Linked DNA regions of Mus musculus: regions 2 and 3 are each reported to be linked to region 1. Evidence: microRNA targets listed by miRTarBase, many of them from high-throughput screens and not tested one by one. Region 1 holds a microRNA gene; each other region holds the end of a gene's coding sequence.
The links. The annotated mature microRNA mmu-miR-149-5p reads UCUGGCUCCGUGUCUUCACUCCC and lies in region 1 at 2,148-2,170, shown strand. An mRNA with a match to its seed (bases 2 to 7 or 8) in the 3' UTR can be bound and repressed. Matches are read on the target gene's strand: a 7mer-m8 pairs with bases 2 to 8, a 7mer-A1 pairs with bases 2 to 7 and ends in A, and an 8mer does both.

Region 2: miRTarBase lists Fem1c as a target of mmu-miR-149-5p. The part of its 3' UTR that is shown has no 7-base or 8-base seed match.
Region 3: the mRNA of Gprc5c is a reported target of mmu-miR-149-5p. The part of its 3' UTR that is shown has no 7-base or 8-base seed match.

What each region holds. Positions count from the first base shown.
Region 1 is chr1:92,848,234-92,852,117 of GRCm38, forward strand. Mir149 (microRNA 149) reads left to right here and starts at 2,145; the gene lies at 2,145-2,210. The region is part of intron 1 of Gpc1 (glypican 1); the gene reads left to right. Gm29480 (predicted gene 29480) reads right to left here and starts at 564. Exons shown (of 4, transcript NR_166170.1): 1 at 468-564.
Region 2 is chr18:46,502,242-46,505,241 of GRCm38, forward strand. It overlaps Fem1c (fem 1 homolog c), which reads right to left. Exons shown (of 3, transcript NM_173423.4): 3 at 2,365-3,000. The coding sequence ends at 2,839. Among named protein-coding and RNA genes, the nearest start is that of Fem1c, 22 kb to the right of the region's middle.
Region 3 is chr11:114,869,800-114,872,799 of GRCm38, reverse strand. Gprc5c (G protein-coupled receptor, family C, group 5, member C) reads right to left here. Exons shown (of 5, transcript NM_001110337.1): 5 at 183-2,479. The coding sequence ends at 2,447. Among named protein-coding and RNA genes, the nearest start is that of Cd300a, 19 kb to the left of the region's middle.

The sequences.
Region 1 (3,884 bases):
AGAGCTTGGTCATCAGCCCTGATGTCCACTCATGTCTCTCAGCTCCCACCTCCATCCCATCCCCATCTCCCTAAAGTTGTGCTGCACCATCCTAGATATTCCTCTCTACCCCATCCCTCCCCCTGCACCCCTCAGGCTGCCGCAGCCCCCTTTCCGCAGTAAGTCCCCCTTCCTCTACTGAACCCATCCCCCCTTTCACCCCGCCCCCGCCGCCACAGCCATGGCGCTCGCTTTTCTCCCTCCTTTTTCTGCCGCCGCGCCCACTGCGGCAAGCCCCTTCCCCGCCAATCACATCGCCCTCTCTCCTCTCCCTCCATCTCCCGCTTTCCGCAGCCCCCCTCCAAATGCCCCCCTCTGCCTGCCGCAGCACTCAGCTCTCCGCACCAGCCGCGCCCACTGCACCAGCGCCCCCTCCTCACTGCGGCGCCAGAGCAGGCGCCTGCATCTGCAGCTCCGGCTTATCTTACCGGCTCCAGCTGTACAGAACCATCCCCGTTGCAGAGGAGGCAGCGGTCGGTCGGAGCTGCAGGTGTCGCCCAGGCTTTGTTCGCCCAGGGCCTGGCCTGATGCTGGAGAGGCAGCTGGCAGGAGCCCTTGCCTGCCCGGAGATGACCCCTCCCATCGAGTCCATAGAAGTGCCAGCAGCCGATGCCCCCCAGTTAGGGGGTCCCTGTTCGTGATGGAGGTTCTTCTTGGTGATGTTGCCATTTGGGTGAACCGGAGGCAGGGGCTCGGGAATCATGAAGGCATCCAGGAGGGTGGAAAAGTATTGGGAGTGAGGTGGGGGCGGGGAGGGGATTGTGCTTGATGCTTTTCCAATTTCAGAGATGGAGTTGAAATGTCTTCCTTCGGGTGTGACCCCCGGGGACTAGACAGGTTTGTTGGGGAACAGGAGCAAGCAATGGGAAAATGCCCCTGGAGCCTGGGCAGTGAGTAGTCCCCCAGAAAGCTGGGCCATTTGCTCCAGGCTGTCACGTCCTGGAGACTCTCAGCCTCTGGGGCTGGAAAACCCAGGAGCACAGAGGGCTGGTTTACTTCTAACCTACCAGTCAACAGAAAGGCCTGCTCTAGGAGCCAGCAGCTGGGGAGGGGAGTGTAGCCTGTGCCTCTCCCTTATCTGCGGTGCTGAGAGATTATACTCCGAATGCCCCTACACTCCCCCAAGCCGTGCCAGCTGGAGTGTTTTAGGGGCCGTGAGGGAAGTGGGCTTTCCACTCTGCATCTCCCCCGTGAGCACAGGAAGCTTCTAGAAGAATGGACCAGAGGCGGGGTAGCATGACTCTGCATTATCTTCAGAAGGTGGAGGGTTTCAAGGCATTGGGTCCCTGAAGTGTCAGGGGAGGTCAGGTCAGAGATGTCTGTGGGTAGCATCAGGATGCTGGACTCTGCTAAAGTCCTGGGGTGACTGTGGATGATGACCAAGAGGGATGCTGCCTCTGTGAGGGAGGAGCAGGAGCTGGAGCTGTCAGCAGGTGGCAGGAGGGTGTGACCCTGAAAGGTAGGAAGCCACAAGCTGCTGTCTGCTCTGGAGAATAGTGGGGGGCCGGGGGTGGGGTGCAAGCAGCCAGATTTGGGAGGAGGTAAATGAGCAGTTGCTGCCCATGGGTTTGCTGCAATGGGGTGCCATGCTAAGTGTCACAAGAAGCAGGGGTCTTGGAATTTGAGAGGCTTTGGGGTTGGGGACAAGGCTTAGAAAAGGGACTAAAGTGGGGAAAACCTGCCATTAACAAACAACCCCCTTCCCCAAATAAAACCTGTGAGTGCCAGGGGAGGGTAGTGCCCCCCAAAAACCCAGGAGGGAAAGATCTGGAAAAATGAAACCAACTCTGAGAGAGATGGGCGGGGTCAGTGGGGAACAATACTGCCGCTCCACTCCCACCCACCTTCAGGGCTGGCAAGGAGGAAGCTGCTGGTAGGGTAGAACGGAGAGACGTTCCTACGATGGGTATGTACTCCAGTGCTTTCCTGGAAGTGTAGAGAGCTTTGCAGAGCCTGCCTTAGCTGTTCTGATGTTGAGCACCTATGGTTCCAGTTGGGCTGGGTCTCAGCTCCTCTATCTTTGACCCTCAGCAAGCAGGTCTGCCAATGCATGGGCTTCTGGGCAGCCTGACCCAGCCTGCCCGGGGCCCTCAGGCCAGTGCCCAGGCTCTGGCTCCGTGTCTTCACTCCCGTGTTTGTCCGAGGAGGGAGGGAGGGACGGGGGCGGTGCTGGGGCAACTGGAACAGCGCAGGTCACCGGGCTGGCTGGGTGAGGTGGCCAGGCAGAGCCAGGGGGCTGCAGGGGAGGCCATTGGATGGGGTATGCTCATAGTAGCTGGCCAAAAGTCTCATGGGTCCCATTTATCCAGAACCTGCCGTGGAGTGGGGCGAGTTTCTGTTTCTGAGTGTGTGTCCTTAATTAACTTCTTCCTGTTTCAGCTTCGTTCTTCTGTCTATGTGGTGAGGGGTGGCAATTGGGACCACTAAGATGGAGAAGGATGTCAGAGGAGCAGAAACCATGGGAGGGGCCAGTAAGGCTGTGCCCACCTCTCTCTTGCCAGTGCTCTGTTGTGCAGCCTGGTCCTCAATATTTCCACCTAAAACCTTTGGCCTACACACACAGAGTGCCTCTGTCCCAGCTGAGCCCAGGATGGCCCCATCCTGATACCTGCAGCCTCCATCCCCATAGCTGTTTCCCCACTCACTGCTGAAGTCAGAGATGGGTCATCCTCTACAGTGCCCCCCATGATTCCTCCTCTAACAGAAAAACCCTTAAACCCCACCACTCAAAGAGAGAGATGTGGCATATCACCTCAGCCCAGCAGACCATGGCCCGGAGCAGAGCAAATAGAAGGCCCTGCTGGGCCCTGTACCTTGTTGTGCCTGTAGCCTGCTTGCGGGTGGATAATCTCTGCTTAGCCCTCCCTACTCTAGAAGGAAGGGAATCAATCAATGGATGCAGATCAAGTGGCAGGACCTAGGCTTGCAGCTCCCAGCTGTCTGGGCACCAACCCAGCCCTTTCTTGAGGTTGGGTGCTTAATAACATGTTGCTTCCCAGGACCTGCAGTCCCTGTGAAAGGCAGGTGCCCTGGGCAGGAGGAAGCAGTGTGGTAGGAGCAGAGGGTACCAGGTAGGGGAGTGGTGGGAGGGGCATTCCGTGTGCACCTCCCATCTCTGACTCCCTTTTCTCTTGACTCCCCCAAGCACCCTTGAATCAGAATACAATTCCTTCTGTTCTTCTACCAGCTGTCAGCCACTGCCCTGCTCTGTGGACCTTTGGGGACCCTGAAACCAGGTGGGACTCAGCCTGTGAGGCCAAAAGTCCCCAGGGTTCTGGGATGAAGCACAGCTCCCATGCCTTAGTAAGCAGGAGAAGGGCTAGGCCAGGCCCTCAACCTGAGACCTGGAAGAGCAGATCTGAAGGTTGCCCTACCTAGGGATGGAGGGGTGGCATCTGGGGATATATACCTTCCATGTCAGGTCAAAATCACAGAGGCTGTACACAGTTCCACTCTGCAATATGCACACACACACACACACACACACACACACACACACACACACCATCCAGCACACATAAATGCTTGTGCTTACTAAGTGCTAAAGACAAGGATGTGATCATGTAACAAGCTCTTAAGGGTGAATGCAACCTCAGAATCTCTCCTTAGTCAGAGATCTCCACTCCCAGTTGGCTTCAGGGGAGGGGGGTTCATAGAAATGGGGCCTAACACATAATGGCCTCATCCTGAGGTCACAGGTTCCTGCCCCCACATGCTTCTTGACAAGATGTCCACTCCCCTCTGGCTCAGTCCCCCACCTCTGATGGCAGCCTGCAGTATCACATCCTGGAGTTCTTCACATCCCACCTTTCCCATCAACCCGTCAGCAAGGATAAAGCCCAGGT
Region 2 (3,000 bases), not on the chromosome of region 1:
TTTGCAAATGAGCAATCACTTAACTTCAAAATCATTAAGGGTAAAAGTTATCTTGCACTTCTCGGCCTATGCTTGTCAGACGTAAGGACAAAAAAATTACATTTTAAAACCTATAATTCATTTGCATTTGGAAAGGAGACTGGTATCTGAATAAAATAACCATTTCTTTTACAGAAATGATCAAAATTGTAGAACGTCTGAAATTCAGAAGTATTTCTGGAGAAACAATGTTGAGACCTGCACATTAATTCCAGCCAATACTACCATGTATATTGTTTGATTCAAGTGAGTACAATTAGATCATTTCCTCACCATGGACAAAAAAAACAAAACAAAACACAAACTTCAGAATTTTATTTTAATCGGTCTCACACATGTCTGATGAAGGCCCTAACAGTTATCTGAGGTTGCACTCCTGAACCAATTCACTCTAAAATAAATTCAATGCTAATTTGAGCTACTAAACAGCTTTTTCAAGAGCTCCAAGGGACATTTCTGGAGAAGGCAAACAGAAGAGGGAGAGCTGCATCCTGACTGCAATACAATGCTGCAGTTTTCAAGACTAAGTAAGAACCAGTTCTGTTATCTATTCGTAGTGAAGGAAGCCACTAGCAAAGATATCCTTATTCATACAGGGCTACGAAAATTCCAGTGCATGTGTAAAACAGTGTGAAGATGTGCCCTGCTCTATGAGCGGGTAAGCCAGACTCTTCTGGGCAAAGAGGGGAGAAAGACATTAAACCCTAAAATCAAATTATCATCTTTTACCCAAAAAGTGAAATCAACCAATGATGATTCATGAAAATGGACAAGTTTTATTTTCTTTTTAAATATAAAAATAAAAATAGTGGCTCACTCATAGATAACTCTCACGACACCCATTAGAGAGAGATAATTTCAAAATATTGTTAGGATATGTCTCAATGACATATTATTCTTATATATAGCAGCTCAAATATTTTATCAGACTTGTCCATGGTAAAAAAAACACAGTAAAACCTTTTTTATCAACGATTTTAAGAGCCCATTGATAACTAATCCATTTTCCAAAGGTAAAATGTAATTTAAAATGTAGTAAAATGAGTAAGGATACATTTTAAAGAATTAAACCTCAATTGTTTGATGAAAAGTCTAATGTTCTTTATTTACTACCCATTACAAATGTTTACTGAATAAAGACGAATTTCATTATATGTAATTCTTTAAGTGGCAGTTCATCAACCCTCAGAATAAAATGTCATCCCTAAATCCAAGTGGCCCAGATCGTGAAGTTCACAGGCGAATTGACTCTCTGCTAGAATCAAGAAGCTTTTCATTCAGAACAAATTCTTTATGACATATGTAGGGCAATGTAGCAGTCATTGTAGATTCTACTGAATTACGGTAAAGTGCTGAGTGATTACCTGAATCTTTTTCATTTCCACTTATCTTCTCTTAAGTCAAAGGAGCCCTTTCTGCAGCATTAACAAATCTACAACAGGAAAAAAAACGGGGGGGGGGGGGGGGACCTGGGAGGAGGGAGGTGGAAGGGAGGGGAAGAGGAGAACAGAAGGAGGCGCTTTCATTAAGGGGACAGAAATCACTGTGCAATCTCTTGTGTTTAATAGGGTGACAAATAATTGAGATAAAGTAATTCATGCACGTTATCTTTAACAGATATACATAAACCTGAAGCAAGAAAGAAAGAACACTGTTACTGACCTCTGGTCCTATGGCAGTACACCGCATACTAAAATACCGTAATTATCTTAGATGCCTAGGGCTGGCTTGGCAAGCATCATGCCACTGACATGCTCTAGCCTCTTTGTAACTAAAAGTGGTCTGCAGTTCATGACTGAGAGCTCAATGTGAGTCGTTAGGCTGTGTGATAACGTCTGAGGTTAAACGGAAGCAGATTCGATACACCTAGTCACACCATCAGCACAAGCAGGACGACGCCGGAGACGACGCTGGAGCGGTATGAAAGGCAGTTCACTCTACAAAGGTCTTCCTTTACTGCACGCTAGCCTAAGATGACAGACCTAAATTTCAACTGGGTTAATGACTTGTAATAGATTTGTTTCCCAAATTTAGCATACAAAATTTTCTGTGGACTGAAGAAAGAAACCTCAGATGTGAAAAAATAAAGCAAAACCAAAACATAAAATTTTAAAAAGCTTGAGCTCGAACAGCTTACCGGCAACTCTAGAAAGCGACATGCTCTGAGAGTACGTTTGTGAAATGGACTCCGGAACGGAACGTAAGGAAACAGTGTTTTGAGTTGAAGTTGACCAACTGCTGCATAGAGAATATGCCAACACACAACAGTCCCAGTTTAAGCCGGTGCATAGAGAAGATAAAGCACTTATGGTAACTGCAAATGGTAAACAAGTCCATAAGGTTTATGACTTAGCATGGACCCAACGGTTCAGGGAACACTGTAGCAGAAATGGTTTGGGAGAAAAAGTGGAAACAGGCAAAACTTGAAGACAGAAGTGGGAGCCAGGGGAGGATGACTTCCAATTGTATAAAATTCACATACTAGTAAAATATAGACATCACTGAAAAACAGTTAACTCTGTCCCAAACACCCAACAGCAAACAAAATCAGAATGGCCTTTGGCAGACAATTTTAGAAATTTGAATATGACATGACATTTCTCAATAATTCACAACAATATATTATACGGTATATTTATATTAAACACTGGGAAACCAACCCTGCACATTTGATGCTTACAATGCTTTAGCCAATGGGAGCAATGATATCAAGCTAATGGATGCTGGTGTTATCACAACAGTGCTCATTACAACTGTTCCCACTCCGTGCTTTAACGGTGCTGAAGCACAATCAAATTATCATCTATGAAGTGAAACAAAGGTCTCTAGCTTTTCTGGGATGTTCCCTTTGTAATAGATTCTATGATTCACGATGACACGAGCAGCAAGACACTGCAATGTGGTATGATTTATGGGCTGTATCAAATTTTTAGCTATCTCCTTCTCGTCCAGCAAGTCACT
Region 3 (3,000 bases), not on the chromosome of region 1:
TATCCAGCTGAGAATTCAAATATCTTTCAGCGGCCTGGTTTTCTCCTTTAAAGTCTCTAACCGGAGAGAAGTTAGTTAGTTGTAATCCAACAGCTACTGTAGCTGAGATGGGGGAATGGGGAGAGAGAGGCAGGCAAGGCAGCTGACACTGACATTCCACAATCACTTAGAAACACACAGGAACAGAGGCAGTAACCCCTCACAAAGAAAGGGCAGTCGTTTAATTCTGAGCAGTTACAAGGTTGAGCCTCCCTTTACATCCACTATAGGATTTAATAGGGTCCGTGTGACATTTATTAAGGGATAGTGGCCTGCAAATGATGAGCTTGGATCAAGCCTGGACCTACTTGATGTCTCCCACTCAAGGCTTGTGTATGATACAGAGCTGTTCATTTGGAGGCCCCCAACCCTCCTAAAAAAAAAAAAAAAAAAAAAGTACTTTTTTTTGTTGTTGTTTGTTTTGTTTTTTTGAGACAGGGTTTCTCTGTATAGCCCTGGCTGTCATGGAAATCACTTTGTAGACCAGGCTGGCCTCGAACTCAGAAATCTGCCTGCTTCTGCCTCCCAAGTGAAAAATGTACTTCTCCACTGGAACTGGAACTAAAAGTCGCAGGGTTGCCATGAAGGGTAACCATGACACTCCCAAATAGCCTACATCCTCCAGGAGCCTCCAATCACTCCTCAGCTTCAGGTGCAGGCAGGCCTTGGGCTATAAACACAGCCACACCCACCACAGGCTACACACCTAGGGATGTGGGGCTTTCTGCATCCTAAAGGACTCATTTAAGACAGCAAACTAGTCCCTCGCTTACTGCGGCAGATCTTGGGGCTCTAGATCAAGAACAGTGTGAGGTGCATGGAGACCGGTTCCCTTGTGGAAGGACCAAGCATCCTCAGTCAGCAGAGGGCAAGAGGAGTATCATTTGGAGGTATGGTCCTACTCTGTGGGAACCTTTCATCCAATGATAAAAGGCACAGGTTGCTGGGGATGGCATGAGAACTAGGCATGGAGTGCCTGGCTATCCTGGGAATCCACTCATCTTTACCTCTACCTTGGCACTAAGCAGGACTGGGCTGAGGGCCAAGTTAGCACACTTGGGGGAAAGGGTATAGAAGAGGCTCTGTCTGGTACCCAAAAGTAGAACAAAGAATGATGTTCTGGAGATCTCGAGTCCAGGGTCTGGTACCATGACACCATCTCAGCCACTGGTGTCAGCAGCTTGCAGGCCTGAAAATGGCCCTCTCTGACCTGGGTGGCCATCGGGTGCCTCCGGTGCATGTCCTAAGGCCAAGGACTCTCCTCTAATGTTGAAAGCAGCAGATCATGTCCATGTGTCCCAAGGACGGCTGCTGCCCAAACTGAGGTAGAAACTTAAGACGTCTTTCCATAAGCGATCTACAGTCCTGGACCGCACATCCCACCAGTCGGACACAGGAAAGGTTCAACTCACCCTGAGAATGCAGCCCTGAATTCCACCCACATGTCCTAAGGGAACTCCCAGACCCCACGTATGTCCTGGTAGCCCAAGCAGGTGCTTCCAGAACCTGTGAGATCCAGGTAATTCAGCAATATCCACATCTGCACCTGTCCCAGGAGCTACCCCAGGAAGCTAGCACAGAAGGCAAAAGGAGACTGGGGGAGATTCAAACAGGGGATTAACTGAGATACAAACGGTGCAAAACCCTAGCACCACTGTGGCCCACGGGCTCTTCAACTCTGATGTGGGTTCTCTGTGTGGCAGGGCTGGACAAGAAGAGCTTCCTCAGATGGGACCAGTGTAACTGCCATCTTCAATGGTGATGGGCAGTGGGGAGGACAGAACAGGCCGACTGGTCCTGCCCTGGTGAGGGGACACGACCCACTGAAGGTATAGTAGACTCCATCCAGATTCAAAGGTGCTGGGACCTGAGACCCTCAGGTCATGAGAAACAGCCTGCCCAAACTAGCCAGTGACCTCCTAGAAGGTGCAGCAGGCCCTAAGTAGGGTAAGGGACAACTTCTGTTGTGTGGCTTGTCTCCAAAGACTCACAAAGATTCACCTGATGTCCATTGTGAGACATGCTGACGGGACACCAACATGGCCAAGAAGGTCCGTCACACACTGGACATTCACAGCGAGACAGCAACCTGGAGAACCACATGGGAACACAGACACTGTGACCTGAGGGATGTGTTAAGGCAGGAGATGGGAGTCAACAGTTCACTCCCTGTAGCTGCAGTTTCTTGGATACCAGGAGGTTGGGATGGGCAAGGGACAGGTGGCCCTATGAGCACCAGTCACATATTTCAGGCCTATCCCAAGGTCCCGACTCAGTCCACTGTTTCAAATTGGTGGCCTCTGGTCCCTCCCAGTTCCAAGGACAGGTGGGAAAGCTGCTGGCCCTGCTCAGATGGATGCAGAGCATTGAGGGATCCAGATGAGGTGTGGTCCAGGGAAGAGGGCATCTACCATCTTGTTTTATTAGTCGGGGACTGATCCTAAAGTAACCAGAAAGAACAAATGTCAAAATGGAGGATTCTACTGCTCACAGCCCAAGTACTGAATTGGACTAAGAGAAAAATTTAAAGTCTCAGTCAGTCCTCAGGGAGCAATGCCATCTAAATATAGACGTTTGGAGAAGTCTGGAGTCTTCTTCCAATAATCCTTTTCTCTCAACAACAACAAAACAACCCTATTTTTTCCCCTTACAACTGGTGTCAGAAAATAGCTTCTGGCTAGTCCATGACAAACATGGATGGGCAGGCTCTCAAGTCCCCTTGAAGAATCCGGACTTGGCATCCAAAGTTCAGAATATTGTCCCATCCATGAGGAACAGAAGCAGCTCAGAGCCCAGGCCACTGGTCTGGCTTCTCCCAGGGAGGGCCAAGGACAAAAGCTGGGGATATCAGTCTTGGTCCAGCCACCTAGAGGCTCTATGGCAAGACTGTGTCACTTTGCTTACTGTAAAAGAGGTTGGGGGGCAGCTAGAGAGATGGCTCAGCAGTTAAGAGCACTGACT